2 linked regions of the Oryzias latipes genome follow. The protein of the gene in region 1 purifies or fractionates together with the protein of each later gene. This does not show direct contact. Links are inferred from orthologs where the notes say so. Each region holds a gene or a part of one and is shown on either strand. Other genes may lie near its edges.

Region 1 (3,873 bases):
GGTGAATCACCCAACAGGAACTGTGAGCTTCAGCAGCCGGCAGCGTTCTGCTCCCGTTCATGTTTCGTTTCAGAAAAATGTCATGAATGCGACGCAACAGCCCAGCAGTGAAGACGGCAGGTCCTCATGTGAATGAATCACAACAGGAAGCAGCTGACGGAGCGTCACAAACGATCTGGAACATTCCTCCTGATAATCTGTGGCGCGTTCACTGCAATCTGTAATTGTCCTGCTGTCGAACAAACACCAGCCCGTCCCGCTAACTCTCCCCTAGAACCCGATCTGCTAATCCAGAGTGAGTGTAAACGCTGAAAGGGAACCGCTTGAGTCCAGAACTTCAGTCTTCAGCTTCTAAACGTCTGGCTTTGATTTGCAATAGAAAAAAAGCAATAAACTGTTTTTGTGAATTTGAAGACGATCTTCTAAGAAAATGTTCTTTAACAGGTTTATTATAAAGTGCCATTACCCAAAATGCACTGTAATATAATGGGATTACTTTTGTGGAGGGGGAGTTTATTTCTTCAATGTGAACTAAATAAATGCGAAAATATTCAGAACCACATTTTTCACAGAAAGTCCATCACATTTAACCCAGAATGAAAAGTTCAAAGTAATAATTTAAAGAGCTTTTATGATGACCCAAAGGAGGTTTCAGCCTGCAGCACGTTGGCATTTTCCCGCTGCTCTTGAACGCAGCACGGTCCTGCTTCAGGTGGGCTTGGGGAGTCTGTACACCCCCGCAGACATCAGAAGCTGCTGCTCCCTGACCTTCTTCTGCAGGAAGGCCTCCAGCTCACTGATGTCCATCTCCGTGACGACGGGCCCCGTGGCCACGAAGATCCGCAGCATGGAGTGGATGCGGTCCAGCGTCATGCTGTCCAGGTTGGTGAGCATGGCCTGGATGTAAGCCCAGAAGAGCTGCAGAGACGACGGGGGTGGGGGGGTCATTTGAAATATTTGACAACATCTAGAAAACACGGAAAAGACGAACGCTCACCTGCAGCTTCTCCTCCCTCTGCTCGGACTGGGTGGTGGTGTTGGAGTCCCTCTCCTCGTCACTGTCGATGAGCATCCCCCCCCTCTCCAGCTTCTCCATGGAGGAGCCCATCTCCACCACATAGTAGCGCCCCCCCGCCTCCTCCCTCAGGACGCCCTGCTGCTGCCACAGGGCCAGCTTCCTGTGGACCAGCTCCTTGGGGGCCCCCAGCTTTCCGCTCAGCTCCTCCAGCGTCCAGGAGCCTGAAACCCAAAGTGGCGTCTGCAGTGACGGAGAACGGAGGAACCTGGAGACGTTCTGGCAGCATCTGATCATTTAAAGGCCCGAGAATCGGAACCGTGGCCGAAACTGAAGCTAAAATCTTCTGTCACCTGAAGATCCTGAACATTGAAGCTGCAGGACAATTAAGGAACTGCAACATTTAATTATCTAAACCAGGGGTGTCAAACTCACTTTGGTTCGGGGGCCACATTCAACCCGTCTGATCTCAAGTGGGCCGGACCAGAAGCGTAAAGGCAAAACAACAGCTTTATTCTATTTTTTTACCCAATTGGAAAACAGGCCTCAACCAACATGGTAGCCTTATTTCTTATTACACATTCATTCACAGAGGCCAATGGATCTTAAATAAAATTAATTTCACTTTAAAATATTGGTTTATTTAATTTTATACAGACTGAATATTTTAAATCTGACACTGAAGCAATCCTGATAAATTCAAGAGGGGCTACAGACAAAAATGAAACATGTTTCTAAAATGTAAATGTCCAAACGATGACAAAATTACACTGAATTAAACTTGCAAACATAAGAGTTTGGAGTTAACCTCCTTTCTCTCCTGAAACTTCACCCGTCCATAGATATCAGGATTCAAATGCTGTGCAGAAACACATTTACTGTCATTCAAGTGTGCAAAACACAATGAAATGTCCATTATTATTCATTATTATAAGAATCTATTCCTGGTTTCTGCCTGAATTTTGTGGCAACACCTGCCTTCTTCCTGACCTTTAATGGGGCGCCATTAGTGACCAAAATTACTTCATGTGACCAGTTCACTTCAACATCGTCCAGCACAGTAACTAGAGAGCTGACTATGTCATCAGCTGTTGTGTCCATCAACTCCAGAAACTCCACTGTGACGTCACTTCATCACCTCTAATAAATATCACAGCTGTACATATCTGTGATGTTGGTGCTTTCATCAATAGTGACTGAAAATACAATAAATGACTGGATTCCTTCATATGGCTGCCCATGTTTTCTCAGAGATGTTGGATCTGATCGTAATTCTTGACAGACTCATGTTTAAGGTCGACTGCTTTTTGGGCCGCAAGACTTCTACTATGCCTTCAGCATTTCTCAATAAGTTCATCATCAGAAAAAGGTTTGGATGTTTGCTCCAACTTGTTTGCAATAAGGTAGCTAGCTTTCCCTGCTCCATCACTGACGTCACGCCTGTAGTAAATCCAGATGGTTATTTATCGGTCCAGCTAATAGTTGCTAAATATTTTTTTTTCTTAACTGCAAATGGTGAAACTTTTCTTTGTGGAGAGTCTCATAGTGGAGCTGAATGTTATATTCTTGGAGAACAGCTGTTAGGTTTCGTTTTTGGCACATGCAGAGTTATGTTGTTTCACCCGTTAAGCTTTTCCTTTGCTCCCCCTAGTGGCGGAATTGCGCATTTCGGTTATTTCTTTAAAAAAATCATAACTTGCCAGAGGAATGGAGTAGAAACTTGCTTTCTTTTTTAAACATCCTTATGATTTTTACTCATTTGTGGGCCGGACCAAACCACCTGGCCGTATGTTTGACACCCCTGATCTAAACCGAATAAAAAAAAATGTGTCATTACAGACCAAATAAATGATCAGTTTCTGGAGCAACTGAAGCAAAACATAAATTTGAAGCTGCGTAATCCAAAGGAAACGAGGGCAGAAACCAAACATTTTCTGCAAGTTCAGAGAATTCTAGAGCAAAAATTTAAGAGTAAAACATCTGAAGAAAAGCTGCTTCATCTGAAGATGACTCTTTATGTGAGGATGCAGGAGGGGGGTGGGGTGTGCTCATCTCAGCATAAAGCTTAAACTGAGCAGAAAACCTGAAGTGGTGTGGACTGTGGAGGCTGTACACTGAACCAAAGGAACCCACTTTTGTCCTGGAAGTGAAGGATGATGGCGGCCTGGATGGGCGACACGGTGAGGTTGGTCAGGATTCGGTCCTCCAGCTCCACGTCCAGAATGACGGATCCCAGGTGAGGCTTCCAGCTCAGGGTCCTCATGGCCTGAAGAGCAGGAGGAAATGAGGATCCAAACAGAACCCCGTTCAGGACAGACAAACTGGGTTTGAACTTTAAACGCTGCGGTCGCATCAAAGCTGTGGCTTCAAGACGAGCAGAAAATGAACTTTGAGAACAATCAGATTAAATATTAGTTCATAAAGAGGATCCACAGCTGTCTGTCTGTAGAATCCTCCAGAAAAAACAAACAGCTGGACTCCACCTTCAGTTTCTCGTATCTGTGGGTGTAGGCCTCCATGGCCCGGCACACGACGGGGGGCAGCTCCAGCTTCTCCTCCTTCAGCGTCGGCCAGAACTCAGAGGACAGGATGATGGCGGACAGAGGCAGCGGCGGCTGCTCGTCTTCGCTCAGCCGCGACTCCTCCTCCCGGATGTTGCCGTTGATCCTGCGGGAGTCCGCCATGTCCTGCAGAGGAGCGCCGCATCAAACTGCAGCTCCTGGCGGAGGAGAGTCCAGCTGCCGAGTGTGGGGGTTACCTTCAGCATGACCTCGCAGTAGTGCATGTGAGACTCTCCGAAGCGAAGCTTCAGCAGCTCCACGTTCCGGATCTCCCTGGAACAGAGCAGAGTCCAAAAT
Region 2 (4,132 bases), on another chromosome or scaffold:
TCTGAACCGTGACACGTCACTCTTTGAACTTCCACTCCTGGCGACACATGGGACACTGCTGCTGCACCTGCTGGGAGTTCAGCCACTTCAGGATGCAGTGCATGTGGAAGCAGTGGGAGCACTGACCCCACACCAGCGGGCAGTCGTCTCCGGGAACCTTACCTGCAGATGAGGAGAAGCATGGCTTAACTCGAGCTGGGGTGTGCTGATGGACACGAAGTCAAAGTTATATGGGGCATGTTACATCACCAATTTATAAATAAGAATCCGAACTCCTGTAAGTGATGGTGTTGATCTCCACATCATGACCGACTGACTTCATCCTCAACAATAAACGTGTCATGAATCTGTTTATGGGAATCTCTTTTGATAAATGAATGTTTACAGCTGATTTTCTTAAGTCTGCAGATATTTACTGCAGATAAATACAATAAGATAAATATATTTTATCTTATTGTATTTATTTTATATGGACACATTACTGAACATATGTCCAGAGACTAAAAGATGTAATTATGTCCAATTTTAGCCATGATGCTATTTCACATCTGCTGTCCCTAAACAGGATGAAACGAGAACATTTGATTGATTAAATGATTGAATACAATAAAAACAACTACCAACACACATGTATATATCAAACCCATTTCAGATATAGTAATACATTGATTAGAAAATAAAGAATAAAATGAACAGTGATGACAAGACAATGCTGGCTGCTTTAGTCTAATTATTCATAATCAAAGAGACTTTTTCGCAGTAATGCATACAATACACACAAATCACATTTGATTCATTTAGTATAATGATAATTTAAAGTCATGCACAATTTGATTTGCTGCCTAAAGGTGAGCTCATTTATTTTATACAATCCCCCCCCCTAATGAATTGTTTCTTTTTATATATTTCTTTTGCATTGTTGCCATAATCCAGTTCTTATTGATGAGACAATAATTCACAAAAATAGCAAATCACAGTCATCTAGTTAAAATCAGGACTTTAATTACATCCATCCATCCATCTTTGATTGGGATGAAATACATCCCATCTGTAGCGAAGAGGCAATTTAATTAACTAATCAACTTCATTTATTAACCGACCCACCTAGAGGAAAACAGCATTTCTGCAGGTGGTCCTGTTATTTTCCCTTTAATTATGTATCATAACGGCTACATTGCATTGTACTTGTGACAATGGCAAACACAAGACTAAGTAGAATGTTCGCGCATGCGTAGTCACATCTCTGATTCTCAAATATTAGTTAAGTCGTAATATTTAATAAGGAGGGGCAGCTGTTAAACTATAACGAATTCCTATCACAGTATAATTTACCTATTACTTTACAAGAGTTTTCAATGGTGCAGAAGGCTATCCCCTCAGGAATAGTAATGTTATTTAAGAACACTGATAATTTGATACCTAATCAAAATACAATATCCAATGCGGATGAGTCACCGGTAGGAAAAATATGCTTCTCATATGGGCGTACTACTAATATAAAAATACGCAGATTATTTCAAAAGATTTATACCGCTCCCCCGTATATTTTAAATTATTGGAATCAATTTGTTCCAGATATCAACTGGAAAGCAGTCTGGACGATCCCTCATAAGTATTTAATAATAAATAAGGTAAAAGAAGTATCCTTTAAAATTCTCCATAAAATTTACCCTGCCAAACATTATATGATAAAATTTAAAAAAGATATTAATACTGATTGTAGTTTCTGTGGAGATCACCCAGAAACAGTAATTCATCTTTTCTGGCACTGTTTGTCCACACGGAGATTTTGGAAGGAGTTCAGTAGATTCATCATTATTCATGTCTTCAAAGATTTCTCCTTGAAATGGGAAAATGTATTACTTTGTTTTTTCAGGACCCCCAAAAAACAAAAGATATTTTTTATAATTAATTTATTAATTCTTCTGGCAAAATTCTACATACATAAATGTAAATTTACTAATAAAACACCATACTTCCCACAATTCATTAAAGATGTAACTTTTTACATAAAATCAATATCCTTTTCCTCCAACAAAAAAGCTCTCAGAACTATTGAAATTTGTAACTCTCTGCAAATATTTAATGAATCGACTCCCCTGGCTGTTTAACATTGTTTGTGTTGTATATTGATTGTATGTTGTATACTGCATTGATTGTTCTTTATGTTGTATACTTGCATTTGTTCAATAAAGTTATATAAAAAAAATTGTTAAGTCGTAAGTAGTTTGTTAGGTAATACAGACAGAGTAAATGTGAAATTACAAGGTTTTCTATCAAATACGGTTTTAAACGCCATTACGGCTCAATTGCCTTTATGCTACGAGGAAACATAAACATCACAAAGATTTCTTTAAACCGATGGTGGGATTTCTACTTCTTTCTTCACAGGAATTAAACATCTGCACGCGGGCGCGTTAACTCACAGTCTGGACAGCAGCCGTTGAAGGGCATCCTGCAGATGCCGCAGTTTTCATCGTTGGCCACCCACAACCAGGACGCAACTCCGTTCCACTGCTTGATCTTCACCTTCATCCTCAGCGAGAGACGGATCAGGGAAACCCACGGAGCTCAGCGGCAAACGGGACACGCAAGCTAGGCTAGCCTATGTCGACCCGGCGGAGCCTGAAGCGACCTGCTCTGTTTAACACTGCTCGCTTAACGAAGGAACAACAGTTGGGGTGTAATTTAAGTGTTTGACAATATTTTAAAAGGTACTGTTCGTTAGAACTAAGCCATGTAAAACAGTGTAAAACAACGCAAAAATATGCTGCCGTTCTTTCAAACAGCGGTGCAACTTTCTTCTTCCGGTGTCATCACATTTGGTTTATAACTGCGTTGGATTTTAAATGTCGCCCTCTATCGGTGACAAATGGTAAGAAACTGATCACTTCTTCTAATTCTTGCAAAAATAAAATAAAATAGGATAAACAATGGGGGGAAAAACGAATCTATTTAAAATTTAGATAATTTAAATGAGAATTTAAATGCATTAAAAACGTGGACCCTATTTGAAAATACAATATGAATAATTGGTGATGCCCTTTGTGCTCCCCTCCTTTTTAGTTTGTGTTTTAAATGGTAATGCTTTGTAATTTAGTTTTTCCTATTATTTATTTATTTTTTATTATTATTTTTTGCTGTGTTCCTTTGAGCCATTTGTTTAAATGTGTCTGATTCTCTTTTGTTAATAAACGCTAAATAACTTTAACTTTTAAGGGAAAAGCGATTTGTAGTAACTATAAGATAGAAAAGACACATAAGATCTAACAACACAGCTTCACAACCCAGACACAGTCACATAAAATAACTATGATGGCTTCAATTCAATTCTGACGAGACTGACAGTGAAACATCAAGGTGGCAAATAAACGTTTAAACAGATACGCACACTCCTTGCTTTTAAACAACAAATATTTTGAAAAAATTGAAATTAAGAAATCAAAATGTATACATGTGCAGAATCACTGGTGTTTCTGAAGTCTTTCCCAGCTTCTTCAGAACAAAGGCAAAGATTATAGTCTGCCAGTTAAATTCAGAGTCACCAATTAGTCCATGAGGCTTGTTTATGGACTATTTGAGGAAGCCAGAGTTCATTAAAAACCCACAAAACACCAGGAGAATTTGCAATTTAGGAAAGAACCAGAACTTTTTGGCCGTGTTGACAATTATTATTTTAATAATAATAAATATAATAAGAATTATTATTCTTATTATTATTACATTTATTACGGAATCAAGTTCCAAATGTCAACACCATAAAAACCAGAAGACTTGCATTGAGTATCATTTAAAAGCAAAAACAGCTCATTCTTCAAAATGTGAGGGCTTAGACATGAATTAGACATGGTACAAATAGAACCCCCCCCCCCCCCCCAAATGTAATTTGTGACAATAATAAAAATAATAAATTTAAATATTTGGAATTATTTAAATTTTCGAGGTTTTGTTATTCTATAATTATTTTATTTGATTTTTTTTCTATAATTATTTTAAGGAGTCATTTATATGTAATATAAATAACCATTGACCATCCCTGGATTTCAGTCTTACACACCTTGTGGAATAAGGATTTGCAAAACAAACAAACAAAACCTAAACATATGTAGAAAACTATTAGATTGAAGTCTGT

Evidence for each region. Proteins that work in one complex are often made in the same cells at the same time.
Region 2: the proteins of anapc2 (region 1) and anapc11 purify together in Homo sapiens (affinity purification with western blotting; 7 studies listed by BioGRID and IntAct, with this or other methods). This does not show direct contact. The link is inferred for Oryzias latipes from reciprocal best matches to the Homo sapiens genes ANAPC2 and ANAPC11.

The regions. Positions count from the first base shown.
Region 1 is NC_019866.2:2,378,332-2,382,204, forward strand, and holds the end of anapc2 (anaphase-promoting complex subunit 2), read right to left. Parts: intron 3,850-3,873; coding exon 3,774-3,849; intron 3,703-3,773; coding exon 3,499-3,702; intron 3,282-3,498; coding exon 3,149-3,281; intron 1,240-3,148; coding exon 998-1,239; intron 919-997; coding exon 709-918; 3' UTR 501-708; downstream 1-500. UniProt on the Homo sapiens protein: Together with the RING-H2 protein ANAPC11, constitutes the catalytic component of the anaphase promoting complex/cyclosome (APC/C), a cell cycle-regulated E3 ubiquitin ligase that controls progression through mitosis and the G1 phase of the cell cycle.
Region 2 is NC_019859.2:4,486,076-4,490,207, reverse strand, and holds the start of anapc11 (anaphase-promoting complex subunit 11), read right to left. Parts: upstream 2,801-4,132; 5' UTR 2,536-2,800; coding exon 2,427-2,535; intron 163-2,426; coding exon 17-162; 3' UTR 1-16. UniProt on the Homo sapiens protein: Together with the cullin protein ANAPC2, constitutes the catalytic component of the anaphase promoting complex/cyclosome (APC/C), a cell cycle-regulated E3 ubiquitin ligase that controls progression through mitosis and the G1 phase of the cell cycle.